2 linked regions of the Sus scrofa genome follow. The main gene of each other region encodes a partner of the protein of the gene in region 2 in a complex. Links are inferred from orthologs where the notes say so. Each region holds a gene or a part of one and is shown on either strand. Other genes may lie near its edges.

The links. Proteins that work in one complex are often made in the same cells at the same time.
Region 1: the proteins of NUDT21 (region 2) and CPSF7 are in contact, whole or in part, in a crystal structure (PDB 3N9U), measured with the Homo sapiens proteins. The link is inferred for Sus scrofa from reciprocal best matches to the Homo sapiens genes NUDT21 and CPSF7. Residues at the interface, in NP_008937.1 of Homo sapiens: Arg68, Asn152, Glu154, Pro156, Tyr158, Tyr160, Pro162, Ala163, His164, Ile165, Thr166, Lys167; in NP_001129512.1 of Homo sapiens: Trp91, Trp92, Thr93, Thr94, Asp95, Gln96, Glu112, Lys114, Phe115, Glu117, Asn118, Arg119, Ala120, Asn121, Gly122, Gln123, Ser124.

The regions. Positions count from the first base shown.
Region 1 is NC_010444.4:10,092,439-10,098,687, reverse strand, and holds part of CPSF7 (cleavage and polyadenylation specificity factor subunit 7), read right to left. Parts: intron 2,213-6,249; coding exon 1,994-2,212; intron 1,862-1,993; exon of another isoform or gene 1,796-1,861; intron 1,153-1,795; coding exon 1,049-1,152; intron 711-1,048; coding exon 538-710; intron 1-537.
Region 2 is NC_010448.4:29,341,850-29,348,098, forward strand, and holds part of NUDT21 (cleavage and polyadenylation specificity factor subunit 5), read left to right. Parts: intron 1-2,296; coding exon 2,297-2,497; intron 2,498-3,418; coding exon 3,419-3,482; intron 3,483-6,249. UniProt on the Homo sapiens protein: Component of the cleavage factor Im (CFIm) complex that functions as an activator of the pre-mRNA 3'-end cleavage and polyadenylation processing required for the maturation of pre-mRNA into functional mRNAs.

The sequences.
Region 1 (6,249 bases), on a different chromosome or scaffold from region 2:
CCTGGACCATGCCGCAGCAACACTGTTCAATTCTCACTCTACGGCACTCCTTCCGGGCTTTCCTTGCAGAGCACCTTTCAGTGCATGTTTAACAAGACTACCGCCGTCTTCATGTACTTGTGCATTTGGTAGTTGCCTCTTAAGAATTTATTATAGACATGTCTTACAACTGTAAGCCCATTTGCCATACACCGATTTTTTTTTTTTAGATAGAAACACATAATTTAGATTTAACAGGAATTTTATACATCGTGTGTCTAGTTCAGATGGGAAAGTAGGCCCTAAGCAGTCAAGTGACTCATCCAAGGTCACACAATGAGTTGGTGGCAGAACCAAACTATAACCTGAACCTTCCTGACTCCTAGCATAGTGGTCTGTCTTACAAACAAGCCTCATTTTTTTTGGCTTACCCATTGCCAGGGTGCCACCCGTAATCACCACCACCCTCCCTCAAACTTCTCCACATTGTAGGCCAAGCCCACCCCACAGAAAACCAACCAACAAGTGCCCCCCTTCATACAGATGGTCTCCACGTACCCCCTCTTGGGACTCGGACGCACTCACGTTTCCGAGCCTGTGCCTCAAACTGTGACAGGTTCTGCCGGGTGGCCGGCCTCACGTCCACTTTTTCTCCATTAAGAACTTTTCCTGGCAGAAGTTCCAACAATTTGTGGACAGAGTTTTCAGAGGCTACCACCACCTCAGCATACCTTGAGAAAGAAAAATTAAAAAAATGAGTGAGATCTACCAGACGACCAAGAGAGGAACACAGAAATTCTCTTCCACTCTTAGTGAACTACCAGCAACGAAAAGGTGTCGGCCTAAAATTTTCCTATTGATTTCGAATGAGAAACCAGCTTTCTCTGCCCCTCAATGGATGGACGTTGCACACTGCAGCTAGGTCCCCATTCTACGGTAGTCTGCCAAAGCCGAGGCAGTAAACTGGGCCAGGGGTGGGAGGGATGACATTACAGGGCCAACATGACAGTACACATCTGTTATCCCAATGGTTACAAACTAAAAGGGGCTTCTCAAATCCGGACCTCACCCTTTGGACTGGCCATTTGCTCGATTCTCTGCAAATTTCAACTCCACCACATCATAGACTCCTATAGAGCGAATAACCTGGATCAGCTGCTGGTCTGTGGTCCACTGGGGCCGGCAAGATGGAAAAGGAAGAAATGTCAAGAGCTACACCCCCTCCCCCAGAATACCCCAAACCCTTCCCCCACACCTAGGATTCTAGTCATCACCATGACCCCCCACAGGAAACCCAGGCCATGGGTATTTCAATCAAGTGCAGATTTTTCCTACCGTCTTCACCCATGGAGAATTCCAAAACCACCTACGCCTGCCTCAACCCCCATCATTAGAGATTAAGAAGATTAAAACCTATTTTAACTTTAACTGCCATTTGGGCTGGCTGGTCAACAGTTTAAACACTGATTACTAGCAGCTTTTGGTTATAGATCTGATAAGCTAGAGTTGATCACTGTCACTAATTTCCCCTCAAGATACATATTTCTTAATTTGAATTTAATTTGACTGGACCACTACCAGTCCCCAAACACGTCACATGATAACTTTTGTTGAATAACAATCACCACCTACCCCAAAAGTACTAAAGCTGTTAAGGTCTTTGATCCCTCTCACCCATCATTATCACAGGACCAACTAATGACTACCAAGAGTTTGAGGTGTCCACTCTGAAATCTCATCCCACAGATGACCCTGGGAGACATAAAGCCCCAGGGTCAGGGGCAGTAACAAGATGGCAGAAAAAGCAACTACCCACTTAATCATTGCTTTCTTCGGCACCAGTACGTCCTCAGGATAGTTCTCTTTCAGAGATCAATCCAACCTGATCCCAGGAAAAAGAAATCCAACCCCATCAGAGCACAAAACAGTGCAACAGTGGTTTTTGAAAATGCCATCACCTCCCAGTGCTCTCCCCCCAGCCCGCCCACAAGCCTTTTTGGTTCTGCATGCTCACCCAGGAGAAACTGCCCACATAGACAGCAGCTCGCCTATTACGCAGGCCACTGTAGGTGTACAGAATCGCAGGGGTCTTGTTATTGGGCTTGGGAGACGGCTCCTGGCGAACAGGAGGAGGTGGCTCAGTGCTGCTGCTTCTGTCATCTGAGGGCTGTGAGGTGGCTGTCAACACGTCATCATACAGGTCAATCTGATCTGTATTGTTGAACTCTGGGTCCTAAGAGATGAGGGGTTGGCAAAGGTGGGTTTGAAAGCCTTTCATTTTGTTCATTCTATTCTACTCTAATTTACTTACAATCCACAGCCAGAGAGTTGATAAAACAATATACACAACTTCCTTATTCTACTCTAGGAAACTAGGAAGAAAAACGTTCCCATTTAAAACATCTTTAACACTTAGTTACGTTTATATAGATGTTTCTTCCAAGACTGGTAGGAGTCTGTGGTGTTTCTAGCTTTTATCAACTGTGAGACTCAAAAGGTACATGATGATTAAATAAGCAAACTAAGAATGCATAGAGATGCACCTGCTACTGCAACCAATGAGGCCAGCTTCTCAAGACCACATCGAAGATAATGAAAATTTATTTTCAACATCATATGCTACTTCCATACACTACTCTATTAGAAATAGAATATACTTATTTAGAAATGGAAAGCAGGGGAAACACATGTTAAAGTGGGAACCAAAATACAAAAGAGAATGGGAGTTACTAGTTTAGACTACTTTTTTTTCTTCTTCCGTGGCCACCCCACAGCATATGGAAATAGAATGGGAGTTACTAGTTTAGACTACTTTTTTTTTTTTTCCTTCCGTGGCCACCCCACGGCATATGGAGTTCCTGGGCCAGGGATGAGATCTGAGCTGCAGCTGTGGCAATCCTTAACCCACTGTGCTGGGCCGGGGACTGAACACGTATACCAGCATTCTAGAGACACCACCGATCCCACTGTGCCACAGTGGGAACTCCTGGTTTAAACTATTTGATTTACACAAACGATTAGGGAAGCTCTAAAACTCATAGTACACAACCCCATCTTTCTATTAACCATCAAAAGAAATTAAAAAACAAAAAGGGAGTAACTAGCGATTTTCCCCTTACAGGTTCCACTTCTCACATGACATGCAGATCTAATGCATTATCGTGACATTTATGAGACATCTTTGAGCAACACCAGAGATGTTCAATGATACACAAAAGCAGTGCAAGAGCTCTAAGATATAAGGGTCAGGAAATGGAACAAGCGCCCATATCATAAGCATTTACAATATGAGCATGTATTCTGCAAGACAGGCAAAGTATACTTTTGCCTATGTAACATACTGCTATTATAGACTGGAAGTCTGTGTCCCCCTACAGAGAGAAACCCTACTCCTCATGGGACGGTATCAGGGGGTGGGGCCTTTGGGAGGTAATTAGGATGGGATGAGGGTGGAGCCCATGAAAGGGGTTAATGCCCTTAGCAGAGTCCAGAGAGCTGCTTGCTCTGCTTTGCTCTTTGTGAGGATACAATTTGGCAGCCTGCCACCAAAAGGGGCTGCTCACCAAAACCTTAGCCTGATCTCAGCCTTCCATCTTTCAGAACTCTGAGGGAAAAACTAGCTGTTGATAAGCTGTTCGGCTTTTGGTATTTTGTTATAGCAGCCCACGTTAACACTCGTATCAAAAATCCTAAAACCACAAGAACTACTATTAAGGGACCTAATGTTTCAGATTTTACAACATCATTATCTCTGAGAGGACCTTTTTATTTTAAGGATCAGACAAATAATTTTTCAGTTAACATTTGAACATATCCAAACAGGGAGTTCTCGCTGTGGCACAGGGGTTAAGAATCTGACTGCAAAGGCCTAGGTTGCTGCAGGTTTGATCCCTACACAGTGGGTTATAGGATCCTGTGCTGCCCAGCTGTGGCATAAGTTGCCAACTGTGGCTTGGATTCAATCCCTGGCCTGGGAACTTCCATAAGCCATGGATGTGGCCATAAAAATAAATAAATAAACAAAATATCCAAACAGTGCTAAATATGATACTGCCAAAATGACAAAGACAGGAAGTCTGGAGTGTTTTAAAGAAACTGCACCTCATTCATGTCATTGCTGTCTTTTAAAAGAGGCAATAAAGAGAGTTCCCACTGTAGCTCAGGGAGTTAAGAACCTGACTAGTATCCATGAGCATGCAGGTTGGATCCCTGGCTTAGCTCAGTGGATTAAGGATCCAGGGTTGCCACAAGCTGTGGCGCAGGTTGTAGATGCGGCTCAATCTGGCGTCGCTGTGGCTGTGGTACACACCGGCAGCTTCAGCTCTGATTCAACCCCTAGCCTAGGAACTTCCATATGCTGCAGGTGCAGCCCTAGAAAGAAAAAAAATACTAAAAATTAAAAATAAAAAAGGGAATAAAGGAAGTGCCCATATTAAGGGAATAAAAAAAGAATTTATATTAGGTAACTTGGTTAGATCCCTGAAGAAAGAGAATCATTTCCCCTAATTCAACTCAGGACAGGAAGCTCCAGTACCACTCTTCCTTCAATACCATCGCAAGAACTGCTATTTCTGAAGTGAGACTGGAGAGAGACTCACTACAAAATGCAATCTTAGACCCCACCATCCATCAGAAACTTTCAGAAACAATCTTTCAGTTTCTCAGAAGTACAAGGGTAGACCTCTGCACACCCAGACAATCCTACTGTCCTGCTGATGGGGGGGGGGGGAGGAGGCTACTTCCTGAGGCATGTAAACAGCTTCAAATATTACAAATACTTAAGAAGCCCAACAGAAGAGGAATTTGAACATTGCTAGGGATTGAACCCAGGCCACAGTAGTAACAATGCTGTATCCTTAAGCTGCTGAGCCATTGGGGAACTCTGAGAGTAAACTTTTTTTTTTGGTCTTTCTGGGCCACACTGGTGGCATATGGAGGTTCCCAGACTAGGGGTCTAATCGGGGCTACAGCTGCCGGCCTACACCACAGCCACAGCAATGCCACATCCAAGCTGTGTCTGCCACCGACACCACAGCTCACAGCAATGCCAGATCCTTAACCCACTGAGTGAGGCCAGGAATCGAACCCGCAACCTCATGGTTCCTAGTCGGATTTCTTTCTGCTGTGCCATGACGTAACTCCTAAAAGTAAACTTTTAAGGGCAACATAGAGCAAGAAAAGGAACCAGGCTCGCACTAACGAGCCCAACTAGCACCCGTGAGGATTATGGGTTTAATCCCTGGTCTTGCTCAGTGGGTTAAGGATCCTGCGTTGCTGTGGGCTGTGGTATAGGTTGCAGATTTGGCTTGCACCGTGTTGCTGGGGCTGTGGTTGCAGCTCCAATTCAACCCCTAGTCGGGGAACTTCCATATGCTGCAGGTGTGGCTTTTAAACTAACAAACAAACAAAAAAACAAGGCAAAGGGAATCAGTGAGGCAAATAAGCCCAAGAAGACTTTAAGTAATCAAATGTGTAAATAAGGACTGCATAAAAAAGGATGAGTATATATGTGAGGAATGGGGAGAAGCTAACATTGGAAAGCACAGAATGGATAATAAATTAAAAAGGTGAAGAAAGCTGGGGTTAATAACTGGACATTTTGTGTGTGAAATACTCCATCCACAGCCTTATGTCTCAATCCTAACTCTAGACAAACCACTTATTTATTCATGTACTAAGAATATTTGCCCTTATGGTTCAGGGTAGAGAAAGGACTTAGAAACCACCCAATCCTCTCCAATGCTCTAATCCTTTGCAGTACCTCACATTTCACACCAGGGCGTGTATATATATATACATATATATATATATATATATATATATATACGTCTATCAAGGATTGTGAAATGGAACTTAAAGGGAATGAGGAAACGACGTCTTGGATGGTCAGTGGAACCAAACTGGAATTCCTTCCATGCGGTATCTGTGATCCAGAGCTGCTTGTCTAAAAGTTGTAAAACATAAACCAGTGCTGATAACTGGGTAGTAAACATGCAGATTTGGACAGCTCAAAGATCAAACATGAAATCCCCCATACTGTAAGCCTAGGCAAACAACCTACTCTTTCAGTGTTCCTCAGAAAATATGATGGACTCAATCCTGGAAAATCCTGGTGTATGGATTACCTTATCACAAGATTCAAACGGTCTCTTTAGACCATAGAGGCCCAGTTCAAACAAGTTTATGGGAACTGTTCTTATTTCTTATGCACAAGGAGGACCTGTTGAAGGTTCTGCTGAAGATTTTATTGAAGAAACAACATATCAAGTG
Region 2 (6,249 bases):
GCCGGATCGTTAACCCACTGAGCAAGGGCAGGGACCGAACCCTCAACCTCATGGTTCCTAGTCGGATTCGTTAACCACTGCGCCACAACGGGAACTCCCTTGATTTACTTTGATTGCTGGATCAGTTCATATCAGGCCATCATATGGAAGACACTTGATGAAATGTTTTAATTTTTGCTCCATTAAGGTTAGGGATTGATGGATTTGCAGTACTTTTCCTTTCCTACATAAACACAGTAGTCAGAAGTGTGTTGTGAACTCAGTTCATCTGGGTGAGTAACGGTCTGAATTGAAAAGTTTTCTCTCCAGTATATTTTATTAGGAAATGTTGCATGAAATACTGCATGAATGCTTACTTTGTAGCAGGCAGTGGGCATAATAATGCTGGTTATAGTGGTGAGGAAGTTAGGTATAGTCCCTGCTTTACCAAGCTCACAGTATGATGGAAATAGTACATGTGTCTTGGGTTGGCACTCACAGCTGAAAATTCTTAAATTTCTTTCTTTCTTTTTTTTTTTTTTTTCTTTTTCTTTTGCTATTTCTTGGGCCGCTCCTGCGGCATATGGAGGTTCCCAGGCTAGGGGTTGAATCGAAGCTGTAGCCGCCGGCCTACACCACAGCCACAGCAATGCCGGATCCGAGCCGCGTCTGCAACCTACACCACAGCTCACGGCAACGCTGGATTGTTAACCCACTGAGCAAGGCAGGGACCGAACCACAACCTCATGGTTTCTGTTCAGATTCGTTAACCACTGCGCCACGACGGGAACTCTGAAAATTCTTAAATTTCATCTTGATGGCATCTCTTCATTGATGTGAGAGCTGGCTTTTGCAGTAGAGATGTGTTATAGCTATCTTTAATTCTTTCTAACTCAGATTGTGAGAACTAAATGTTAACATATACAAAGCATATTTAAAGTTGTGGGCACACAATGCTGTTTGGAATTGCTGTTGGTAATGACGACGGTGTGTCTACTGGAGATGTTCTTAAAATCTTACACTCTGGAAAAAGTGCATTTTAGTTATTTAGAGCTGCTTCACTTATGCATAGACTTTGGCTTCTGGAATTAAAAAGTAATTTTTAAAGTTTTGGCAGCTTTGATTTGTTCCCCTTTCCAGGATAGCTAATTAGATTAGTTATGTAGTTTCTGGCTTTTGATGCAAAGTGTTTTGATAGAACAGATATTTTGGGGATAGGCAGGTATGGCCAAAGCATTCTTACTCAAAGGTTTATAATCAAAGGCTCCTTACTGTAAGGCTTATGATTGAGGGGTTACAAGGTAGTTCATGTGATGAACTACAAATATGGGTTTTTAAACTACCTTTAAGGGGAAAAGTCTTTACTGGGCAAGAAGAAAATTGTCTTCAATATAAGTCATATTTGGAATTCTTGAGAGAGGAGAGACTGTTCAGATTACATCTGGTGGGCAGAAGATTCAAATGAGAAGGGAAGAAAAAGGTTACTGAATAGAATAAATGCAGAAGGCTGAAAGATCTCGAAGGGAAGGAAAAGTTCATCTGAAGAAGAAACGTACCAGAAAAGTCTGAAGATAGTTGACTGGGAGAAGTAGAAAATAACTGGAGAGATGATGGAAAGTGGTGGCTCAGTTTTTCAAAAAAGAGAGATTAGCCATTGGCACATGAAATTAATAGAATTTCTGATTAGATTAGTAGAAGAACCCAAGGGCACATCAGCCAGGTTGGCAGTGTTAGTATAGGTCCATAATTTAAAACCAGAGGATTACCTTTTTTTTAGATAGCCCCTCCTCTAAGCATTTAAGGGCTTTATGAATAGTGTGTATGCCTGAAAGTTCAGGTATGGAGTAAACAACTTGATCTAATGGAAGCTCTGGCTTTAGTGTCCAAAGATCTAGACTCTAATATTTTCTGTTTTGTTAACTTATTTTTTTTTTTTCTTTTGTCTTTTCTAGGGCCGCACCCGCGACATATGGAGGTTCCCAGCTAGGGGTCTAATCAGAACTGTAGCCATCAGCCTATGCCACAGCCACAGCAACGCCAGATCCTCGACCCACACCACAGCTCACAGCAATGCCGCATCCTTAACCCACTGAGCAAGGCCAGGGATCGAACCCGCAACCTCATGGTTCCTAGTCAGATTCGTTAACCACTGAGCCACGACGGGAACTTCTGTTAACTTATTATTTAACTTCAGACAAATCCTGTGTCTCTGAGTGCAGTATGTACACTTCTTACCATGGTTTTTTAATGTGTGGTTGGTATTCTGGTAAATTATGTTCTGCAGTTGTCATACTAGTTATTTGTCTTTGGATCATAGGTACCCTCTTACCAATTATACTTTTGGTACAAAAGAGCCCCTCTATGAGAAGGACAGCTCTGTTGCCGCCAGATTTCAGCGCATGAGGGAGGAATTTGATAAAATTGGCATGAGGAGGACTGTAGAAGGAGTTTTGATTGTCCATGAGCACCGGCTACCCCATGTGTTACTGCTTCAGCTGGGAACAACTTTCTTCAAATTGTAAGTGTCATTGGAAATTAACAGCTTTTAATAGGATTGCTGTTTTATGCAGCTTTGAAATAGTTTTAGCACTAAGTCACTTATCACAACAAACATTGCCGTTAATGGAGTTTTGTTGAGGGTGTTGGCCAATGGCATGCAGGAATCCCTAGGCCAGGGATCCAACCTGTGCCACAGAAGTGACAACACCAGAACCCTAACCTGCTAGGCCACCAGAGAACTCCATATGGAGTCTTCAGGGAAAAAAGTCATAAGGATTTTTTGCCTAACTAGAAATCTGCATGTTTCTATATATTGTTGATGCTAATGACTGAGCCTGATAGAAGCTTCTGGGAAACAAATTAGTCCAAGTTCAATTTCTAAGTGTCATTGTAGCATTACTAAGAACAATTGATACTATTTCTTTCCTAGGATGAATAGTGTTGCTATTCTTAAAATGGCTTATATTTTTATAGGTAATTGTTTAGTTTTCTCATTTAAGTTTAGAAATCTCTCAGTTTATGTATAGTCCACAACTGTTTGACCAGATTGTACTAAAGAATTCTCAAATGAGTTCTTGAAAAATGCCCCATTCTTCAGGTCTAGAGAGTGTGGGTCCACTGCTCTCTGGGCATTTCTAGTCTCCAGATGGCGTCCACGGAGAAAAGATTGGGATGGACTGCTTTCCAGCAGTTATATGATGTTTATGTAGCGGTATATATTTTTTCTGTTTAAAACTAGGGTTTGTGTACTGTTAGTCTGATAAATTAGCCTCATGAATTTGACTTTCTAGCACGTTCTTGACATTTGTTTGCTTTAATTGCTTTATCGTGTAACACTGAAATATGTGTTAAACAGTACTTCATAGAAATGATTATTGTGTCCTTCCTATGATCCCCAATTGTGTTAAGTTGGAAGCTGAAGTTGTTAACCTTTATACAGACCAGGTGGTGAGCTTAACCCAGGAGAAGATGAAGTTGAAGGACTAAAACGCTTAATGACAGAGGTATTTTTCAACTTAACTATTCTGACGATTTCGTTAATGTTCATCTAAATACCATCAACTTAATGCATAATCAGTTTTTTTGTGTCTTGTGAAAAGGATGGGTTTATTTATTTAGTTTTCAATAAATAAAACCTCAAAGTGTTAGTACAGTGTTTATTTTCTGAAAGTTTAACTTATACTTTATCTTAACATTATTTTTCATTGAAATGATGTGGCAGTCATGTTAATGAAATAGCATTTACTGAGTAGTGCTGCTAAACACTGTTCTAAGTGCTTTACATGCAGTAACTCCTTTAATCATTACAACAGCACTAGGAAGTAGGTACTGTTATTAATCCCATTTTATAGATAAGGAAACCATGGCACAGAGGGTTCAAATAACTTGTTTTATGTTATAAAGCTATTATGCCCTGAAGCTGGAGTTTTGAGTGCAGGTGGTTTTGTTCCAAAGTAGGTTTTAATAGACTTTTAACAAGAGAATGATTCCTGTTGTATACTTAATTCCATTTTTGAACATTCCTTTTAAGGCTTTACTCAAATTGTACTAGTTTTTAGAAGTCATTCTAACGTCTGCCTCTAAAGATATGGGGCCAAATGCATAGATGCTGGAGATTTTTGACATTATAGCTTGTATTCATTATTAAATAGTTTTCTTTTTTAGCATGCAGTCCCCACCCCCCCATTACAAACTAATATATATTCTGTGCAAAAACCTTGGCAAATGTAGAAAGTAGAGGGAGAGACAAAACTAAAATCACCTGTAGTCCTATCTCTTTGATCTACTGGTTTGCCTTTGTAGTATTTTTTAAATGTGTAAAAGCTTTTAAATATTGTACATATGGTAGTTATACTTACCCCAGCTTTTTCTCAAAACTCCACCAAAAAACAGTTAAGGTGTTTTAGAAGATAGAAATCCAGTAGTATTGAGGGAGTGCAAAATGAGACAGAAGCAAGAACAAATTTTTAGAAGCTGGAAAGCAGATGAGCAAATCATAACTGACCTAGCAGAAACCTCAGCACAGCAGAAGGGCAGTCAGGACCCAGCACTGCAGAACACCAGAAAGGCTACGGGGTTGGAGGTGCCTGGTGCCTGTGAGAGTGGAGGCTTGCATGAACTGAACACTGAATGGACTGGCAGTCTGTATAGGATGTGTTTATATACCTAAATTGTCCTTCCCAGTCTGTATATTTAGGCAAAGACTGGCTGCTGATGAATTCTCTATAGAGACTGAGTCAAAAAATACTAAGTAGTGAAAAAGTTGAGGTGAGGAGCATCAGTGTAAGTTTACATCTTGAATAGATGGACTTCTAGACTTCTAGGCAGTTAGAGTGTTAACTAGTTTTACATATGCCAGGCTGAAGGTTTTCCTTCTGGAGAAAGTGATTAATTCCAAAAAATACTCCAGATGATGGATAGATGATGTTTGGTCATCTTCCCAGAGAAATAGTCCTATCACTCATGCATACAGAGGTGACAATTAAGCATCTTATTGTTTTACCCTTAACAGTGAGCGGATTACCAAGTGTCACCACACTTTTGAAGAGAGTTTTTTTTTTTTTTTTTTTCCTTCTTTTTAGGGCCATACTCGTGACATATAAAGTTCCCAGGCTAGGGGTTGAATCAGAGCTATGGCTGCTAGCCTGTGCCACATCAACACAGGATCTGAGCTACATCTGTGGCCTACACCACAGCTCACAGCAACACCGGATCCTTAACCCACTGTGAAAGACCAGGGATTGAACCTGCATCCTCATGGTTACTAGTCGGGTTTGTAACCCGCTGAGCCACAGCAGGAACTCCCTGAAGAGAGCTTTGTAACAGGAGATCAAAAGAAGCAAAAAGAACTCAACAGAAACAGATAATTCAGTAATCAACAGAATTATGATTATGATTTTTTTCCTTCAATGGCCTCACCTATAGCATATGGAAGTTCCCAGGTCAGGGATTGAATCCGAGCTACAGCTGCAGCAATGCCAGATCCTTAACCCACTGTGACAGGCTGGGGATCAAACCTGCACCTCTGCAGCAGCCTGAGCCATTGCAGTTGGATTCTTAACGAACTGTGCTATAGACGGAACTCTGATTAATATTTTATTTATTTATTTATTTTTGCTTTTTAGAGCCTCACCTGTGGCATATGGAAGTTTCCAAGCTAGGGGTTTATTCACAGCTACAGTTGCTAACCTACACCACAGCCACAGCAATGCCAGATCTGAGTCTCTGACCTTCACCACAGGTCATGTCAACGCCAGATCCTTAACCCCACCAAGTTGGGCCAGGGATCGAACCTCCATCCTCATGGATGCTAAATCGGGTTTGTTACCACTGAGCCACAATAGGAATTCCTGATTAATATTCTTAATGTTGTAAAAGGAGATAACTGCTGACGTAGAACTGTGTGCCATTAGAAAAAACTCTATAGCCAATTAAGAAAAAAAAAAACTCATGAGTATTTGAAGGAAAAAAAAACTAGAATGAAAAATTCAGTGGAGAGTTAAAAGATTGAGTTGATGAAATTTTCCAGAAAGTAGAACAAAAAAAAATAGGTAAGAAAAGATAAAAATACTACATTGTAATAGAAGGGTCAATATAAAACTGTAGAAACAATAAGGGTCTAACTGTACAGCACAGGAAATTAATATCTTATGATAACCTATAATGGAAAAGAATTTGAAAAAAAAATAGATATATATGATGTATAACAGAATCACTTTGCTGTACACATGAAACATTGTAAATCAACTTAAATTTAAAAATACTAAGGAG